Drosophila melanogaster: one gene and its partners. The protein of the gene in region 4 interacts with the protein of the main gene of each other region in a pairwise test. Each region holds a gene or a part of one and is shown on either strand. Other genes may lie near its edges. The genes, in order: CG13300, CG15673, CG30080 and CG42288.

Evidence for each region.
Region 1: the proteins of CG42288 (region 4) and CG13300 interact in a two-hybrid assay, tested with the Drosophila melanogaster proteins (one large-scale study listed by BioGRID).
Region 2: the proteins of CG42288 (region 4) and CG15673 interact in a two-hybrid assay, tested with the Drosophila melanogaster proteins (one large-scale study listed by BioGRID).
Region 3: the proteins of CG42288 (region 4) and CG30080 interact in a two-hybrid assay, tested with the Drosophila melanogaster proteins (one large-scale study listed by BioGRID).

Annotation. Positions count from the first base shown.
Region 1 is NT_037436.4:6,349,363-6,354,360, reverse strand, and holds the start of CG13300 (uncharacterized protein), read left to right. Parts: upstream 1-1,970; 5' UTR 1,971-3,204; intron 3,205-3,531; exon of another isoform or gene 3,532-3,625; coding exon of another isoform or gene 3,626-4,051; exon of another isoform or gene 4,052-4,085; intron 4,086-4,998. Other genes in the region: Sfp65A (seminal fluid protein 65A), read right to left, coding at 3,626-4,051.
Region 2 is NT_033778.4:21,607,879-21,614,746, reverse strand, and holds CG15673 (uncharacterized protein), read left to right. Parts: upstream 1-1,675; 5' UTR 1,676-1,942; coding exon 1,943-1,964; intron 1,965-4,788; coding exon 4,789-4,968; intron 4,969-5,680; coding exon 5,681-6,093; 3' UTR 6,094-6,354; downstream 6,355-6,868.
Region 3 is NT_033778.4:15,698,183-15,703,484, forward strand, and holds CG30080 (uncharacterized protein), read right to left. Parts: upstream 3,515-5,302; 5' UTR 3,494-3,514; coding exon 3,447-3,493; intron 3,391-3,446; coding exon 3,197-3,390; intron 3,142-3,196; coding exon 3,032-3,141; 3' UTR 1,682-3,031; coding exon of another isoform or gene 1,506-1,681; intron 1,437-1,505; coding exon of another isoform or gene 1,406-1,436; 3' UTR 972-1,405; coding exon of another isoform or gene 834-971; 3' UTR 544-833; downstream 1-543. Other genes in the region: CG42662 (uncharacterized protein), read right to left, coding at 834-971; CG46433 (uncharacterized protein), read right to left, coding at 1,406-1,436, 1,506-1,681.
Region 4 is NT_033778.4:14,089,495-14,092,343, forward strand, and holds CG42288 (uncharacterized protein), read left to right. Parts: upstream 1-1,536; 5' UTR 1,537-1,614; coding exon 1,615-1,881; intron 1,882-1,953; coding exon 1,954-2,077; intron 2,078-2,141; coding exon 2,142-2,233; 3' UTR 2,234-2,320; downstream 2,321-2,849. Other genes in the region: prosap, read right to left, coding at 2,499-2,666; CG42287 (uncharacterized protein), read left to right, coding at 882-1,103, 1,163-1,298, 1,362-1,441.

The DNA of each region.
Region 1 (4,998 bases), on a different chromosome or scaffold from region 4:
TTGTTTGTCTTGGCTTGGCGCTCCGTCTTCGGAGACGGAGAAACGGCGCATTTCTCATAAATCATTCGAAAGGCTCTCTGGCGGGCAATGTATCGCGGCATCGTCATCCCAGAATCGAATCCCTGACTCGTCGACGACGTCTTCTGCCTGTCAGAGGAGTCGTGGTCGATATGAAGAAGGAGCTGGGGGAGCAGGAGGAGGTGGGCCTGGCCCACTCGGATGCCCATCCAAGGCATCGAACTTGTCTAGCCCATCTGAGTGTCGGCCCTGTCCATCTTGAATTAGTTGAGCAGTCGCAAGACATTAGGTGGAGCGAATGGCTGAAGATGGCTAACTATATTAAGTTTGACTTTTAATGCATATTTTCTAAGCGTTTACTTCTCAAGGAATTGCTAAAGGCCTGATTGAATTTATTTATGATTTATTTTAAGAATTTCCAGCTGCTAGGCCACAGATGGAGATGAAAACGCTTTTTAAATTTAATGTTCAAGTTTTACCATCCTACTAAACATAAAGTTAAGATAAAAATGGTCATTTTAGATGTTATATTTGTTAGGTACTAGCGAATAGGTTTTAAATAGGGAACAGTTTCTACTTGTGTTTTCTTTGACATCATCTTCAGTTAAAATGAATGATATAATGTAAAAGAGAGAACAAAATTGCAGGCTGCATCATTCCCATTAAAATGTCCATTTGCAGTATTCACCCGCCATAATTTCTTTTGATAAAACACCTAATGATATAAAGTTTAATTACTGATAAAAGCAAGAACTAAGTGCTTTTTTCACCATTTATCTGCCATGATTTCACTGGCCTTTGGAGCACATTTTTTGTGCTGGTTAAGTTTTAAGTAGAGTCCAAACCTCGACCCGCCTGTAACTTTGACTGCACACGCATCGCCCCTCGCTGCTCGCCGCTTTCTCCACAGAATTTTCCACGGACACTCACCTGACGGAGCCGGCAAACTTTTGCATAATAAAGCAGGTGCTTTTCCTCCCCCAAAAGGGATCAGACCAGACCAGACCAGTCTGACCTCGCCACCTGAGTCACCATCACCATCGCCTTCGCCTTCGCCATCTGCACGAACTGTTAATGTGCTGGCGATTTTAGTTATGGCCAGTGGCCAACGCCAGTTGGGAGTTGGGACCTGACCAGCTGGGCAGAGTGTCCTTTGTCCCGTTGATAATTTAAAGCCAACGACCTGGACCTGGCCGGGATTAAACCAACTGAATGGCAACTGTTTTCTGCTCAAATCACAGAGAAAATAAATTGGGGATTTCGTACTTACAGAATGCAATTTCGAGCTTGCCAAGCTGGATTAGGTTACAAATTTCAAATGCAAGTTGTATGTAATTTGTTGATTTTACGGTTGTAACCTAACAAAAAACAGTGTGCAGAGACCAAGCAGCAACAAATAGGCACACCATTTTTTCCTCCGTGTAGGATGGCACACTCCTACCCACTTTTAACACTCACCAATCTCTTCCGATTCCGCTCTTTTGGCCATCTGAATATTCATTTCAATTGTGCGAACTGCATCGGCGGTGAAAGAAAAGCCTGCACCATTCCAGCGGCAACGGCTTATGGCACTTTCTTTGGGCCAAAAGAGTGGATTCGTTGATGCCCCGATGTTATGCTGCATATCGATGGTGCGGTGCTGGTGCTGGTGCTAGTGCTCCTAGCTGCTGGTGGTGCCGCCCGGTGGGGGACGACGACCCACATAAATCATTCACAATTAGATGCGGACGCAACTGCGGCAGCGGCTTAAACACCTGACCGACTTGCTCCCGAAAAGACTCCAAGCCGAGTGATTTTCCGCCCGAGTTCCACTCGAGTGGCCAGCTCAAGTGTTGAGTGAGTTTTCGGGGGCATTGAGTGTGCCGGTTCCATGGCGTTCCGCCCATGTTCCACGGACCTCGACGGACCTGTTCCCAGTGCGTGCCGTTCAGTTTGTACTTGAGACCGGTTCGAAACGTTGCCAGCCGAAAAGTCAGCGGGCCGCGGACGACGATATCCCCACAAAAAACCAAACCAGAACCAAAAACAGCTCGCAACATTGGCAACATAGCAACCCCCCATCAGCAACATTGGTTTTTTCGTCTTTTGAGTTTCAGTTCAGGGTACCACTATATGATTTGATATGATACATAAACCCCGATTGTTAAGTGATTTTGTGCGGTGATCAATGTGTGCGATCGGCAGTTTGGCAGAATCCCCAAGAATGCCGCGTTAATTGAGCTGTACGTACAGCTATAGTACAAATTTGCATAACCAGTGAGGAGGCATAAACAAATCTGGCCGCCGAGCGGAGGAGCGTCTTGGTTCACTGATTTAATGCCACAAACAGATTGCAGATTGTAGCCCGCAGCCGCGCCCCTGCAACTTGCAACTTCTTTGGCTGCAACTTGTGCAGCAGGCAGCAACCAGCTAGCAGCGACCACCTTCACCTCCACCTCGAACTCCTTGCTGCATCTTGGACTCGGTTTGGTCTTGGTCAACCTGCTTGCAAGCTTGTTTCTGCGGAAGAGCTGCCGCCGGAGCGCCAGACCCGGCAAAAAAAAAAACAAATACAAAAAAAAAACAAAACAAAAAAAAAACAAATCTAAAAAAAGTAAGGAAAAACACATACAGAACAACACGGCTGCCGTTGTCGTCGTCTTTGGAATTTTCTTTAAAAACAACGCGCTAAGATTTGCAACGCGGACCCAGGCAAAAAGTGTAAAAGGCAAGCAAATGCATCCGCGGAATAAAAAAATTAGCGCATAGTGAAGCGTGTCCCAGTGTGTGTGTGTGTGTCGTCCATTGTACATGAGTGTGTGTTCTAAACGCCGAGTGTGCGAATAAAAAAGCTGCCCAACTGAGAGAAAAAAAGTTTGAAAAGTGTCAAGCGAGCGGCTCGGTGGCGGCCAATAACCCAACGACTGGCATGCAATTGCAGCCAGGCGACCCCGACGGGTTAATTACCGTTATCCTTGCAACACAGCAACAACTAAAACAACAACGAGCCACACTAAACGGTGCTCAAGTTGTGGATTACGTCTCCGCCGCGTTGTCGCCGTGTGAAAAGGACAACAGGAACACAGCATCTGCAACATTGGCCATAAAAAGCGCATTGAGCACACGGCAAAGTCAAGTGAACATTCCAATTGGCAACGTAACGGGCTAATTGGCACACACAAACACATCGCTGCACATGAAAACGAGGTGAGTTTCAAGAATTCTGCATTTCCTTCATCCAATTGCCTGCTAAGCTTGTTTCGATTGCCTTCCATTCCTAGAATGATTTATGAAAGAATGTATTGGCAAGACAGGCAAGATACGGCTAAATACTTATGACAAACTAAATAGATCGGTTTTTACAGGGCTTTATTGTTATGAATCTTTTTTTCCCGTGAAATGCCAAATTAGTTGCTGCCTGAATAAACGCTATCGATTTCATACTCGAAATTACTATAATTTGTAACAAGTTATTAACTTTTAACTTTAGTTAGTAACTATTAACTTCAAAGTATTTAAAAGAATTTTATATTAGTCTGTGATATTTTAATATATTGAACGTATATTGATTAATTTTCAATTAACACCTTTAACTTTATTTCCTTCCCAATTACTTTTGAAGGATGTTTTAATCGTGATGATGGTCATGGAGATCGTTTTCAAACTGCTCATGAATAGGTCCTTGAAATAATTTTATACCATGAAATATATCTGCTTTTGACATTTTGGGCTTTCTTGTAACCGTTTGCACTTTGGAGTTAACAATGTTTTTTTCACCGGCCTTCAATTGCTTACTTTCGCTCATAACGACGATATTATTTCCTAGATCTGGCAATCGAGGAGATGAACCAATCGTTTTTTTGCCAAGGAAAGTCTCTTGAAAGAATCCAGGTCCTGGTACATACGTATTTCCCTCCGCTTCCGTAAGTCCCGATGTGGAGGTGTTTACCGTTATAGCTCCATCGTTAAGTATAATGCTATTGGCACTGTCATCTTTCTGATAAGCTAAAACGCTGGCGCAAAGGATAGACAATAGTCGCAGTATCCAAACCATAGTCCGTGGAGATTCGTTTAATATAAGCTGAGAAATCTGCCTTTATCATTACAAGTCGTTTGTGGCTAACAGAAATGTAAGGCTTTGACATTTAGCATGAAATCGGTTTGATTCACATTTCGCATTAATTTACATGGTTATACCATGTGTTAAATGGTTATATACTTGTTTCAAAACTCCAACAGAAGTTTGCATTAATCCCGAGCAAATTACTGGATATACTTATAGCTACTAGATCCTTTATATATATTGGTGTAATATTTCTTAAGCTTAAGCCCGGCTTCGTCTCGAGTAAGTCAACGAGTTTTCTTTTGATCTCTGGTTCGGTGCGACTTAAAAGCGGGCCAAGCTGTAGGCCAATTCCAGGGAAGTCCACTCCATCAGGCTGAAGCCCATCGAGTTTTCCATCGAGTTTTACTGCAGATACATTTGTGACGGGCCACTTGGAGCTGCTCGGCTTCGATTCTTGTATCTCTCAATTTCCATTAGACCCAGAGCGGGTTCTCGTTCTCTTGTGTTTCTACGCTTTTGGTTCTGAAGTGAATTTATGTCGAGCCGCTAAACAATTGATGCTGAAAAATGATGGCAATGACAAAGTGATTACGGCCAGCAGTGGAAAGCGACGCGAGATGCCAGCAATCGAAGTTCAAGTTGAAAAATAACATTTTCAATTTCCAATTGTGGGGTTCATAGTGAGCCAGAGCTGCCTCGGTGGAAAAGTGAAAATGAAATGCTTTGCTAGCAGACAAAAGCGGTTCATCATTAATCATTTAGTTTGTTGTTTTTACAGCGCAACCGAAAGTATACCTATTTATACGTACATAATCGGCACTTCTTCTTCGTTTGGGGCACGTTCTCGATTTGAATCTTTTCCTCCATACGCCGTCCCATTTTTTTCCTTTTTTCATCCCGTGTTTGTTTCGTCTCTGAGTATTTGGCTTTGGTAA
Region 2 (6,868 bases), 7.5 Mb from region 4:
GCGGCTGGGAATTACCTCACTCTTCGCTTAGCCTCCCCAGTTGCAGGGTGTCGGTTTCATCACATGGTGACACACATCGTGAATCAGCACGTGCCTTATCCAATAACCTGTCGAACCGGCAATCCGATCCCCCGCATCACCAACTCATCTGCCCAGCAATCGGCGTTTGGTCACGACTAGAGGAACTGCGTTACTGCCACTGCGTCATATCGTGGGCTAATCAATGCTGGTCCGCTTACTGTTCTGAATTAGATTTTACTTTGTTACCAACCATGTCGTGGATGGATCGCGTTGGATGTGGCACGTGCTGGGGTCGCCTGGTCGTTGACTCGTCACAATTGACCAAACTGGTTATTGCCATCGTAGCTGCGAGACAATTTGCTGACCAATCTGTGCCCCCGTTCAATGTCGGCCCACAATTGTCCAATTGCCTTGGAGTCGCAGTATGCCATTCAATTAGCGAATGTGCAGCTCTCTTGGCAACCGGTAGCTGCTCCATGGATACATCTCTATATATAACGCCCAGGTGCCAATTATAACACGCACACAAAAGAGCCGAGCCGAGCAGCTCGATCGATTGATCGATCGCTCGATCTATTCATCAAGTTCAGGGTCGAACTCAAATCACTCCGTCGCTCATAGATTGGCCTTAATTTGTGTCAAGCACCCTGATAAGGAGTTTGACCGCTCCACCATCCATCACCCGAATCTCAGACCACTGGGGGATCCTAGAAATTTCACTCCATCTTCTTCTGACGACTCCACTTGGTCGGATCACGAAATTCACACAGCGTATTAGCACCTCGCAGAGGGGCGTGTAGGTGTGAGTTCACGCCCAAAAATAACCCTAAGCAGAGCAGAGAGTTCTTTGGGCCACTTTCGCAGTTTTTTTAAAGCCAACTTAAGCTTTAAAAATAACCAAGGTAACTAAGGATCTGCAAATTGAGGTGTGGCTCTTACCTTAACCGATATTCGTGATGTTCTTAAAGGTGAAAAGGCAACATTTGTTAATTTAAGCGCGCATGTAAGACCTACACACAAAGGGCATAAACAACCAACATTGATTATAATTTATTAACTTTTCTTATCACATTTTCCTTATCTGCGACACATTGTCACTTCTTTAACATTGATAATTTTACAGTTCACAATGATATTTTGCATAAACTGCGCAGCAAGAAGATTATTTTCGAATAGCAAGATAAATATTTAGTAACTTTGGATATACATATGATATATTAATTTTAAAATTCAATTCTCACTTATGCACTCATGCTTTCTATCCGCGTGGTTACTAGCCGAAATAGTATATATAAAATAATAAAATAAAATCATTATAAAATTAAACTTTGGTTCTTTTTAGGGGGTTTGTATGAAACAATCGTAGTCGGAGAACCCGAACGGAACCACGTTCCAATCATTCATGGGCTTGGCGGTGGCAACGGTGGTAGCACCTCCGCCTTCAGAACGCATTGTTTGATGTTTTGGCCAGCAATTATATACGTTGCTCTAACCAGTTCCGCCAATCGCTGGAATCACTACTACACTTTCTCGCCCGGCGGAGAGCGCGTGACTCATACGCACGGGGGCCACACAAAGACGCTGGCAGCGATGGAACCACCAGCAGCAAGAGCAGCTCCGGCTAAAAGCTGTAGACATGGCGAGCGACGCGCTCAGTCTGCGACACACAGTTGAAGCTGAAAGATCGATTCGATACGGCGGTCAGTCCGCATCCGCATCCAAATCAAGTCCAAGTCCAAGTCAAGTCCCAGCCCGCCTCCGTTTCCAATTGCCCGGTGCAGTTCTCAGTGAAGTGAACGATTTATGGAAATTCATTGATTGCAATTCAAGCCGACAAGTGTGTGAATTAAAAACAAACAACATTCCGAGTTACCTGAGCAGTAGCAGCAACAGCACCATGCCACACAGCCGGATCCATACAATGTGGCCCATTATGATAGGTGGTGAGTCTGGGACAGGCCTTCTCTGGCTACTATACCTATGTATATATCGTTATAACAAGCAAGTCTCCAAACAAGCATATGCTAATTATGCGAACGTGAACTTCCACAAACTCTGGCTGATTGCAGGTACCTATATATGTATACCGATAATGCTCAATAGGAGGCAATGTTTGAATGGGTCTGTGAAATCGCGTTTTGTGTAGGAAAGTTATTCTTTATAATACGGCCAATTATCCCATAGAACTAGTCGTTCTAAGCTATGCTTAAAATAAAAAAAAAAAAACAGGAAATATCACCGCTGATTGCTTAATTCATTCTTGGCGTAAATGGTGACGGTTTGCCTGGCATTAAAGCCTCATAAATATTATTAAACGTTCTATTATGATTAATTGATTGCCCCTACAAACAAACACAATCGAGACTTGATTGAGCAGCTGTTTATTAGTTTCAGTACGAAAGATATAGTTTCCTAAGAGCAACTGTGCTTCCACAAACCATAGAACAATTTTCTTAATAGCTATTAAGCTTGTATTATCACACGCAATTACCATTATAGCCTGTGGCGTCTGTTTGAGGAACTTCTGGCGTCAAGACCATATCATCTTGGTCCTCCATCCAGACGTCGTAGTCGTAAACCAGTTAACGATGTCTTTACGATACCGTCATCTGCTAAGCCCGTTAGATAAGTTGTGATAGCCGGCATTAACCGACATGTGATCGCCCCGTAAATATCATCCAAGCGAATCAAAGTAAAAGCCCCTCGTTCCGTTGACATTTCACTAAAGTGGGACTTTTAAAGGGGGTGAGGCTGCGGTTACTCGACTTGCAATTTTCCCGCAAGTTATGAAAACCGGTTAAACCAAAGTCACTGGCAAGCCCCAAATGCTAATGATAAATGACGTTATTATGAGGAAAGCGCTATACTCTACTCTCAACTAAGCCACCCAACTCGGGCATAATGGCAAACACTCACGGAAATTCCCGAAATTCGATTTCTTGAGCAGAAAGCGGGTTCAAGGCGCTTGGAGTTCGCCTATCTGCAGCTCCGATACATTAGCCAAGCGAGCACATGGCATGCGGGCCAAACAATATATATCCCATATACCATGTCCAATGGCCCATGCTCCGTTTGCACAGGTGCCAACGCAGTAGTGAAGTGGAATTGCTGACGTTGACTTCAGCACGTTTTGCCATTAGTGGCTAATTAGAATTTAATTGCTTATATTTTGTTGTGTCCGCTTGTTTTTCCACTTCCATTGGGTTCGCTTTGTTTGGCGTTCCAATGGTGTTTGCATGCGTTCCTTTACCGCCACCTTATCACCACGAACTCGACACTCTATAAATAAGCGAACCCACCCGATCTACCCGCCAATTATCCACTGTTGACTGAAAACTCAACCCCAAGAATAACCCGCAGTCAAACATTAGCTTTGGCAGTTATTTTTAGCGGCCACATATCAAGTGCTTTAATCTAGTTTGTAGTGCGTGCAGAAGTGGAGCAGGGTTGTCCAGGTCTGCTCCTAATTACCTGGTTACACATTCAGTTAGCTCCGAAGATGCCTTTCGGTCTTATCAGCGTGGAAAATATTTGTTTTCGACTAGCAGAAAGATTCCACATCTGTGCTTTCACATGACCATTTGGTCTAGAATCTAGACTCTAGATGAATCCAAATGTTGTCAGAAATTAGCACAACGATTCCATTCAGCTAATTTTTTCCAGAACGGAGTTTCCTACTAATAAAAGAAGATCAAGCGATTTGTGGCGATGAGTTGGTACTGCAATTCATTCACCTTCCTTTCGTATCTATGAAGCAATTACATTTTTTTGGCTAGACAACGGGGCGTATGAATTATCTCATAGTCAGTTGCGCAACTTTCCTCTGGACTGGCGCTACAAAAATTTCTCATGGAATTGACCAGCTGTCGCTCTCATCGAGACTCGTCGTCACATTTCCAACTTAGGTCAACGATTTCGTACGACCGAAATTTCATCAGCTAGGTGGTGAAATTGATAGCGAAGTGATGGGCGCGCAATCAGGTAATTACACGCAATTGACAGGCGTTGTAAAGATACTTGGTCTCAAAATAAAGATGGTGTGCCGTGTGCGTCTCCAGCCATCCATCCCGATCCAAGAGGGAACGCACCTTCGATGGTGAAATATGGCCGCCGCCAAAGAAGTGTGCAAACTTGGTTGCCAACTCATCGAATGGGCTTTAAATGAGATAGCCATGTTTTATTGGCGGCAGCTTAACTGGCTTTTATGGTGTTTGTGTTTGTGATGGGTGCGTCAAAATATTTTGCAAACCGCAACCAGGAAGATAATGCCCGACCATTGTGGACGAACTAACACCTACCCCACTAGCCGCAGTGACTAGAGATCTTCTCCAGTCGTATCAGGGCTGGAGATATACCCAAAAGCCGCCTCAGACACCGGGTCGTCATTGAGGGCCTTATCGTTAAGTGGCTTTGGCCGTAAACCTAGTCGCCCGATTGGCTGAGATTATTTAGCGATCCATTTACGGGGGGGAACACCCTGCTGGCACTGGTTATATTTAGATTCCTTATCAGTCGCCGATGAAGATGTTTGACTTGATCACTCCCACCTGGAGGAAGATCCATTCGTTCGCACGCCCCAGAGTGGCGATGATAAGCTATCAGTGAGCTCACCGCTCTGTCTTGATTTCCTGATACCATAATATCGCTAATACAGCTTGTCTGCTTCGCTCCGTTCCCCTCCCTTCCGCCTCATTCCGATTCAATTCGATTCGATTCGTTTCGGTGCGGTTTGGTTTGGTTCGGCGTGGCCGTTTTGTTTCCTTTCAGTAATCATCGCCAGCTCGTGCTGCGTAGACGGCCAGTCCTATCTCTTCAGCGTGGAGAACGTTCTCCACGAGTCCGCCCGCCCACTGCCCTACAACTTGACAAACGCCAACGGAACCACCGAGGTGGAATTGTTTCCCGACACCATCTCAAACAACACGCGGATTATTGTCTACAAGAACAGTGAGTATCTGAAGGATGCAATACTAAATGTGCATGAGGCATCAGACTAAGATTTTTGTGCTAGATAGAAAAAGATACTTTGAGTAAATCGTTCAATCATTTCTATTTCACTTAGGCTGTCAGCCACTCAGCCACTTATTTTTAGAGTCTTATTAATGTTAAAGAATAAATTAAATTGATTTATATCGATAAGATTTGCTACAAAACGTCACTGATTACTTTGGTAGTAGAATTGACTTGAGTACCATACAAAGTGAAAATAAACGAGATCGATTGAACAGGCCATTTCAACTGCCATAAACATTTGTAACCCTTGTAACGCTCGCCCACCGGTAATATCTTAATTTCAGTGGACCCTTGAAACCGGCAATCAACAACGATTCCCGTCTAATTACTATATACCCGCCACTAGGGTTAGCCCCTATCAATGGGGCTCATTTAAGCCATTAGCGTAGTTCGATGACGCGCAAGTATTGCAGTCGAGCAGTTTCGTCATAAAGTTTATAGCACAGACCCACAATTCGTGACTAGAAGCACAACAGCACCAACTGATAACTTGCTGCTGGGATGAAATTCTAGCAATTCTAGTTATTTCCATATAGAGTCTGGACCTTATATTTCAATTAGACTGGGGAGATTTGTCTATGCTTTGGCTGCGATATAAGCCCTATAGTAGTCACGATCAAAACTAATTAATACCTAACACTTTCAGCTGTCGTCGAGTCGCCCAACGATCTGTCCCAGACGGCAATGGATGTGATCACGATTGTGTGGTATGTGGCCACTTTCCTGGCCCTGGCCGCCTTCTTCATGCTGATGGCCTGTTCGGATCGCAGATGCCGCGACATGAGGCGTCGTCCCGCCGGAGGTCAATCCACCGAGGGTCTGAGGGCACCACCCACGCCCTCGCCATCCTACAGCGAATTTGCGCCTCCCAGCTACGATACGGTGATCAAGATGCAGCACGCGGCCAAGACGAGCGTGTTTGTGATACCGTTCAGCAACAAGGCCGGTGAATTGGGTGCACCACCGTCGGGTACGCCGCCCCCAACTTCCAACCCATTGCCAGCCGCAGTCACCTGCGATGTGATCATCGTCAATGAACTGCAGAAGTCCGCTGACTAAGCAACCGATAAGCCGACGGTGGATCCCTGGATCCGGCCTTACTATTCCGACTCTGTGATATTTGCTGTTTATGGCAAAGGGCCAAGTATTAGATGTCGTAAGATCCCCACAAAAAGACTGACAATGAAAGATATCTGTGTGCGCATATGCATTCAAATGCCAGTTCAACTGAAACTAGATGATTAAGTAATTAACTTTAATAAATCATAGCCATATCGTAAATGATTCATCCAACGGGATGTTTGCTAAATGTTTACCAAGAACTCGGCTTTCCAGTTAATCAGGGGCTTATGGGGAATATTCAAAGTTGGGGGCAAGTTATCTGGCAACTTGCTTGGCAAAAGCTTTCGAGCAAACAGATTCCGTAGACCAAAACCATTTAGTTTCGCTCGGGTGAAAGCTTTCTGCGGAAACGAATTCAAAACTGAGTACTGATAAGCGTTCGGGGGAAGCTTTTTCGTTCTGATGTTAACTTACACTTGATGCGAACGGATTGGGATTGACAAGGCCTGAAACTGAACCCCCTTCATTCAGTATCAGGTGATCTGGAGTTGAAGTGCTCGCCGTGCGTTTATCCAAGAGAAAACACTGTTTGTTTGAACACTGCGCTGGCCAAATAATGGGGCAAGTTAAGCAAACATAAATAAGGCACTTCCCCCTCCCATTGCCATTTGGATGCTCAGGGTCAGGCGTTCGGTTCATTCATTGATCGATTCCAGTGAATTTCAATTTCTTTCCAGCCGCCGTTGTTTAGATCGAGCGAAGGTAACATCTG
Region 3 (5,302 bases), 1.6 Mb from region 4:
TACATTTCATGTAGAAAAGATTCGATCTTACATTGTTGGTTGAAAACCATGCTAAGCGTTGGTGATGTAAAATTAGGAGGATATGTATGTAGATTGAAAAATTGTTTAAATGCATTGTGTAATGTTTAAATAATTAAACATTTTTTAGTTTTGATAATACATTTTCTAGTAATTTTTTATTTATTTATTAAAACAATTTTAAAATACTGAAATACCGCAAAACTTAGTCGTATGTACCAATGTTCTTCATATCACTTGTAGCTCTTTTGCACGGAAATTTAATTTGCTCAAAACACTTGTTCCAATAAGCAAAACGTGATTGCTTATATTAGCTAAGGTCAGCTTCTAGAGTATGCCACGGATAAAGAAAGAAATTCGTGCTAAAGTCGTTTGAAATTGGCCCATTAAAAATGTTTTCTATAAACAAGTTCGGATCGCATGAAATTGCAACCTGTTTTGCAAAGAGTGCGAATAGCTCTTGCTAATCGATATTTCAGAGCCCTCCCGATCCCATGTTATCTGCAAGTTGAGCAAAATGGTTGTGTTCATATACATTGCATTTTATATTATATTTTCACACTAAAACTAATTTCTAAGTATTAACATTATAGCACATAAGTTAGATTAGTTACGATGGGATGAGCTATAGATAATTACACATGTTTCTTAACATTAACATTATTAACATATAACATAACATTATTTGTGCAGTTAGTTGATATGGCGATATGTCGTCGAGCCGGCAATATACACAACCGGTTTTTGTGCCGCACTTTCGAGAGATTCGATTGCATCGGACTAGGTTGAATCGATCTTAGTAGACCACGATGGAGCTACTGCATGGCGTGTCTTGGATGGATGTAGTGGGATCCGGAGTTGTTGTCCTCCCGGTAAATGGCGGTCATCAGGAGCAGCAGGGTGCCGGCGATCAGGGCTCTAAAGACTTTGTCAACAAATCGAATGTGCTCCATGTTCTGATGCTCGTCGACTGGTCGAAGCTTTGGAATTAGCAATCTTAGCGCGTCTGGCTTTGAAACGTTACTGAACGCTCGTCTTGATAGCGACCGGAATTTATTGCAGCTCCAAGCGAGGTGTTTTCCCCCTACTGAAGGTTGGATGGTGGAATTGCTGCGGCAAGGGTAGTTTCCCAGCCGCCGACTTGGAAATGCCCCAAACCCAATCGCGTTACGAGCACTTTACAATGCCACAAATTGTTGTATTTCAGAACTCTGAAACAACAAAGCGAAACCCCCCTCTCGGAACGAGATCGTTGACTGACTCTCTGCGTATCGCTATAATGAATTCAACTAACAAATTTTGGCATCGTCAACGTGCCAAGATTGCAAATCAAAAGCAATCTGTTTTGAAGACGAGGCGACGACGCATTTTCTTGGATCATTGCTCTTTAAAACTGACAGAGACTGGACTCGAGGAATCTGGAAGAATCGATATAGGGAGGGACATTTTTTTATATGTATATCTAATATCATTGTATCCAAACTTACCTAACATATTGCTGGAACTTGGGACTATGGCAAAATTGAATACAACTGCGCCACATGTTTTGCGAGATCTTTCGATATAAGGAAAGAGTATTTGCGGCGAGACTACTAGAGATCCGAATGGGATTCAAGGTCCAGTTAAGGGGAAAATCCCGCTCGATGTTCTGCAAGTGTGGCATCTCTCGATGAGTTCTCGTTTCGGACTGAGGATCAAGGACTATTTGATCTCAGGTAGGGGCGCAAGCAGCTGCATTTTCTTTGCGCCTCCAGATGCCCAGGGGTAGGTCATGTCCTTAAGAGCAGGATGGAGTGAGGATCAAATTCTTGTTACCTACAATTCGCAATATGGTTTACTCTTTAGATGTGTATCTAACCGAAAACCTCTTTATGCTAGTAATATGACTGATGAGCAAATCTTCTCTTAATTCAGTAAAAATTCAGCTTTAAGATACAATTATGTTAGCCGAAAACAAAGATATTAACAGAAATGGTATCAACGCATTCATTCTTCACCCTTTTTTATATTTAAAATAAATATTTAATGTTCTCTATCCTGCACTGCAGCATTATTTGTTTCTCTGTAAATTTAATCACTGCAATATGCAATCAAGCTACCTGTAATCAGATAATCCACAGAGATTCCTCTGAAGTTTGACTGTCTTCTGCATTCAGTTCATATCAGAGCTTGGTGGCGCAATGACGGTTTTGCAATTGCTGCTCCTGGTCATATGCCTTAAACTTGGTCAACAATCCGGACAAGCAGTTCCCTTTGGAAACCAAACAGAGAAGCCCTGTAAGTGCCAGCAGATGAGGGGTGACCTGTAGTAATGTTTCCCTCCCCAAGATCAAACATACTGCACCACCTACGATCAGAAGCCAGGCAAATGCTTACACTACAGAGAATGTTAGTGCATCGCGAAAATAGTTTCGAAGCCAAAGGACCAGCTGACCGCCAAGGACTTGGAAATAAAGAGGAATGCCCCTTGTTTTTCAAATTCTAAAGTGAGTGGTCATTTAACAAAGCGACATATGCTGATATTCCAATCTTTCAAAGAAATTCATTTGCTGTGAGGAATTCGTGCTGATTGCCAGTGAGAGTTCGTGCGGAGAATTCGGGGATCAGAAGATAACTGGAGGGAGCGAGATTCAAATGGGATCTCGACTTTGGATGGCCTTGCTGCAATTGAATCTTTCAAAACCGAATGAGAGGTTATCCTTTGCGTGCGGTGGCACGTTGATTAGCCCACTTATGTATTAAGTTAGTCCGAAACCAGGGAGTCTCGGTTAATATTTTAATATTAATATTAAATATTATTATTATTATATTATTATAAAGCAAACAAGATTATTAAATAGGTGACATTGATAAGATAATTCATGTACTTTAACATAAGCGAATAGGAAAAACAACTTAAGACCAATCTTACTTCGGACAGCCCCTAATGTTGAACGTTTTAGAGTTTATCAGGTATATTGCAACTAATTGCAAGCTCGTAGTTTTCATATGTCTTACGTTAGATACTTTCAAGCTAAATGGTTTGGTTATCTACGCTGAGGGCATCCACTAACTGGGAAATTCGTTGAGCTCGCGTCAATTTCCACGATACGCAGGACAAAGCCGTGATGAAGAAGCCAATCGCTATAAACCCAAAGTTCATCATAGGAACAATCAATTCAATAGCACTGTTACTCACCCATTAGGAGAATGGCCTCGGAAGTCTCATCCTGCCAGGCTTTTGAGACAACGCACAGTAAAATGAATCCGCTGAGCAGGCAAAAGGATCCAACTACGACGGCCAGTGTTATGAGTATGATCACCGGATCGTTTAGAGGACCATAATCAAAGAGTGTACGGCAGAGGGACGTTTTCCGGGGCATAGGAGTACCACTGTTGAATAAAAACTAACTAGTAGATTTGCTAATCCAAAACTGTGCACTACGAACCAGGCTTGAGAATAGGTGGGTAGAATGGGAACAGCTCTGCACTCCATGGCGCTCCTAAGGAAACTGAAGTTGGAGCTCCACACTAATGTTTTTGGGTGGCTGGCGGGCCCTACTTCTCCACATTCTAAATTTAGCCCTCAGTCGCGGCTGACGATCGCAGACGCGTGTCTGAGATTGGAGTTAGGGCGTTACATTATCTATTTATAGCCATCTAGGAAATGGTTCGATCCGGCGGAACTAGCGGAACAGATGTTTGAGTTCAGCCGGCTACTTCTGCAGTCACAATGCGTCTATTTTCGTATCTATTTTCTATGCAGAGTTCAATGCTCTGTGCGTTGAGCTGAAGAAGAAATCGAAGATCCCGAGAAGTCGTGTAATGTAATAAATCAACTTCATTACTGCCTCATAAACGTCGAAAAAGGAGGCGTGGCGGGGGCGAACAAGTGCGAATCATTAACTCGATGTCTCGAAGTTCACGTTTCGCATGTGCCAAGGTAGCGTTGACAACCGACACGCGCAGTTTCCCCCCGCATTTTCCGCCCATCACCGGCGTAGTTATAGAAATATACTTGGCTGCTGCATTCAAGCGAGCTGTAAATTATGCAAAATAACGACGTCAAAGTTTCAATATAATGAAGCCAACGGACTGGCGGGAGTTTCGGGGCCCGCAGGTTGGGGAATATTATAGTCTGAAATTTCATCCCTAATGTTTCTATGCCATTAAGCCAAATAGAAAACGAAAAGCAACTTATGTGCCATAATGTTATACCTTTAGATTCCATGGATGCATGAGGGTGAATTTAAAGTTTCATTTCATGCACGTACTTAAGTTTTAAATGGTTTCGAAAGTATGTGAAACGACTAGTTGTGAGTTACCATTAAATATATTACTTTACAATTGTTTAATTGAATTTCGGGTGCATGTAAAAACTCTAAGGTTTCTTTACAACAGTTGAATGCTAGAGGTTATAACATTTTTCCCCTTGGTTGTGGCCTGAGACCAACACTCAATCACTGCCCCAAGTCCTGAAGACATAAAAATCAAATCGAAGCCGTCGCCATAAACAATTATGAACTTTGTTGCACATTGTTGTCCACACATGGCCACACGGATCCTGCTCCTTGTCGTCGCCTTGGTTACATTGTAAAACGTTTTATTGTCGCCACCATCTGGCGACGATTTGTTGGCAGCAGCGCACCGCCGCCAGACGCCCAGCCACCCACTGAAACCACCGAACCCACCAGAGGTGCCAATATATCCTTTTTCTTGCTTATTTCAAACCCATTCAGCTAATGGAAAAATACCATTCCCGGTTGGAAAGGCATAAAATATGACCTGATATGTATCTAATTAGAAAAATTACTCCAAAATAATATTTAAAAGTTTTTTGATAATAATATTTTAAAATTATTTTGATAAATAACCGTACTTCTTTTTTTAATTTAACTTTTTTTGCTTATTTGCTCATCACTGAACCCACCCTAAAAATCCGATTTCAAGGTGTAAGCCGGCGGCACGACGACAACTGTTATGCTTATCGGATGCTTTCTGAATAAGAATAAGAATTCGGATGCGGATGTGGATGTGGATGGGACTCGAGTGCGGATCCCAGGCGCTGAGGCAAATTGCTGCTGATTGTCAGGTTCAGGCGACGCTGCGTAAATAACTGAAAGTGGTCCGAGGTGCCAACTGCCTTTGAGCCGGACCCAAAAGTTTGGCGAAGCACATTAGACGGCGATGGCCAAACTTCGGACCGATTAAGTTGGGAGTCGCAATGAAAAGGGCAGTTGGCAGTTGGCAGTCGGATGATGGTGATGCTGAAAATCTTATCGCCGCACAAGAACCCGTTTCTTTT
Region 4 (2,849 bases):
TGATTTCAAATCCAGTTCGGTTTCAGTTTGGGTATCGCCCAGAGTTTCCGTTTGCAATTTTGCGGTTTCAATATTGAATTGGGCGAGGCCCCCGCATTGCATTTACGCTTGACAATGTTTCGACAGCAATTTGCTCAACAAATTGCGATTAAATGTATACAATTGATTGACCATTGTTTGGCTTTCATTAGCACAAAGGAGCGGGGAAGTGCCTTTCATTCGGTGAGTAATTTGACGGCATTATAAGGGCAAATAACCGCTGATCTTGACCCCCTGACCACGCATTTACTCATATTTCAAACTAAGTAACATATGTGAATATGTTAACACGTAGTTCTCCTAATCTGTTGGCCATTGAAAAACTAACCTTCCTTGTGACTGACACTTTTTTTTTGCCTCCCCTTGACAGACTGCCATTCAATTGTCAAATATCTTTGGATCTGCAGCGTCACGATTTCCAACTGGGCGCACGACCTCAGACATTGCAGTTGCCGATAAATTGCATTGAACTTCAAAAATTGAAACTTCACGAGGGCCATTTGGCAGCCATTCGAGGGCGGCTGAGGGGGCGTGGTCGTTTTTATGTTGTAAGGGCACGTGTCAGCCTTTGGCTGCATAAAAATTTCAATCAACAACATCTGTTGAAAAATTGCATTGCGATTCCACAGTAATTGGTTTTTTGTGTGATTCAATGCAAAATGCATTTAGTTTGATTGTGAATTTGTGTCTTTTAAGGATTTTGATCCTTAATCTTAGTGCAAGATTATTATTGATTCAAATATTAAATAACTAACGCAAAAATTTTACGATCAACTGTTCCTTGCATTCTGTTGTTTTGGGCGAAATTCATGTAAAAAAAAATCACAAATTTCTGTAGCGGCATGTTTTTTAAAAAGTGCTGCTTTTTCCTGCCCCTCAACGTGGGTTGCATAATCATTGGAGCCATCTTCATAACATTTCACGTTGGGGAGCTGATAACGCATTCGGATGACACCATTTTCATCAAGCAAGTGTCCCACAAATGGTGGGCACCCGTCATCATGTCTCCGATCCTGACAATTGGAACTCTGAGCTCTATACTCCTTGTGTATGCTGCTTCGAAGGTAAGAGATTCAATTGGTTTCTTTCAAGATTCTAATGCTTTATAACATTACAAATGCAGAGCAAGCGAGGCTTTGTCCTTATGTGGATTATCATCTATGCAATTATACTATCCCTATATTTCCTAATGGCCGTTGTCCAGTTGGCCAGGTCGAAACCTTCGCCGATTATATTGGCCGTTCAGGTGTTCATCATAGGTGGGTGTTGGCCATTTTTGATTGAATATGTCTGAATAATGTCTTGATTTTCATACCCCCTAGTTGGTCTCGTTTATTCCCTGCTAATAGTGCTGGCTTTTTATCGATATTTGAGCAGTGTGGATTCTGACGATTCAATTTGATGAGTTGTAAAATAAATGTTAAACTAACGTGTAACTGAATTTAACTGATCTAGTTTACTTCTTTCAGTGTGTCCCTTTTATACAAACTAGATTTTCAACAAATTTCAGTTTCTCAGGAAAGCTTTGAAAATTGTTGTTTAAAACTTGCAGTGCGGCTGAGGATCGGATCAATCATGGCCTGTCGCTGCAAATATCTGAAGCAGATCTTTACCAAGTGCTGCTACTGCTATTCCCTGCGTTTCGGTGTGCTGCTCTTCGGATGCATTTTTCTAACCTGGTTCATTTACATCACCATCGGCACCGGCTTCATGATGGAGTGCATCTTTCCGAACGAGTATCAGAGGTCCCTTATCCCAGCACCGGCGGCCCTCAAGGCCACCATGGTCTTCTCCTTCTTCGGCATCATAGTTTCGGCCATGCTCTGCCTGGGAGTGCACAATGTATGTGATCTGTCTATTATAAATATTCCCAATATATTTAGCATATGCTTATAATACCTCATAATTTTGTAGAACAACGAGATGCTCTTCCTGCCATTTTTGGTTTTCACACCCATTTGGATAATTGTGCACATTTTTGCCCTGACCGTTTACAGCTTTAATACCATCATCATCATCCTGACTGTCATCACAATGTGTGGGTACCCCCAATAATCATGAATCTAAAGCCTAAATTAAGTATACTATTTAATGTTTTATAGTACTTTTAGTGTATGCCTGGCTGGTGGTTTGGTCCTACTACATAGAACTGCTCTTCGCCTACGAAGATGAACTGGAAACCGGTTATGTGTAATAATAGTAATAATAATGATATTTACAAATTTTAGTATGTTGAGCAAGCATTTGATGTGCCTAATAAAATAATGCATGTAGGATACAGAAATACAGATCATAATTTCGCTTGAGCAGAACTCCATACTATGTGAAGTAGACCCCATTTCGGATGTACATATTTCTCCCCGTTTAGTGAGTATTTAGCGCACATGAGACATGCCCGTGCTCTATATACACCGAAAAGACAATGGGTATCGCAGTGGTAATGACAGTGACCGACTTACCTTCGGCAGCGAGGCGAGCACCTGCTGCTTGACATCCCAAACGAGCCGCTCCGATGGGAACTGCAGACACTTGTAGACATTCAGCTCCGGCACATGGATGCGCACCAGTAGCCATCCGTCCCGCGGCTCCGGCGGCGGCTCATCGTCAAACGCACCCGACCCGGACATGGCGTCCGTATTGGCCGGGTTCTGTTTGACTTTGGGCGTGGGTGGGTGGTATGTCGTAATTTTGACGGCTTTCTATCGCACGGTCCACGAAAAAAAAACGAAGCTACTCCCGCTCCACTGGGAGATCTCCTTCTAGCCGTTCTATTCGCTTAATTTGCTCTTTCCTTATTTGGTTGCACTTCA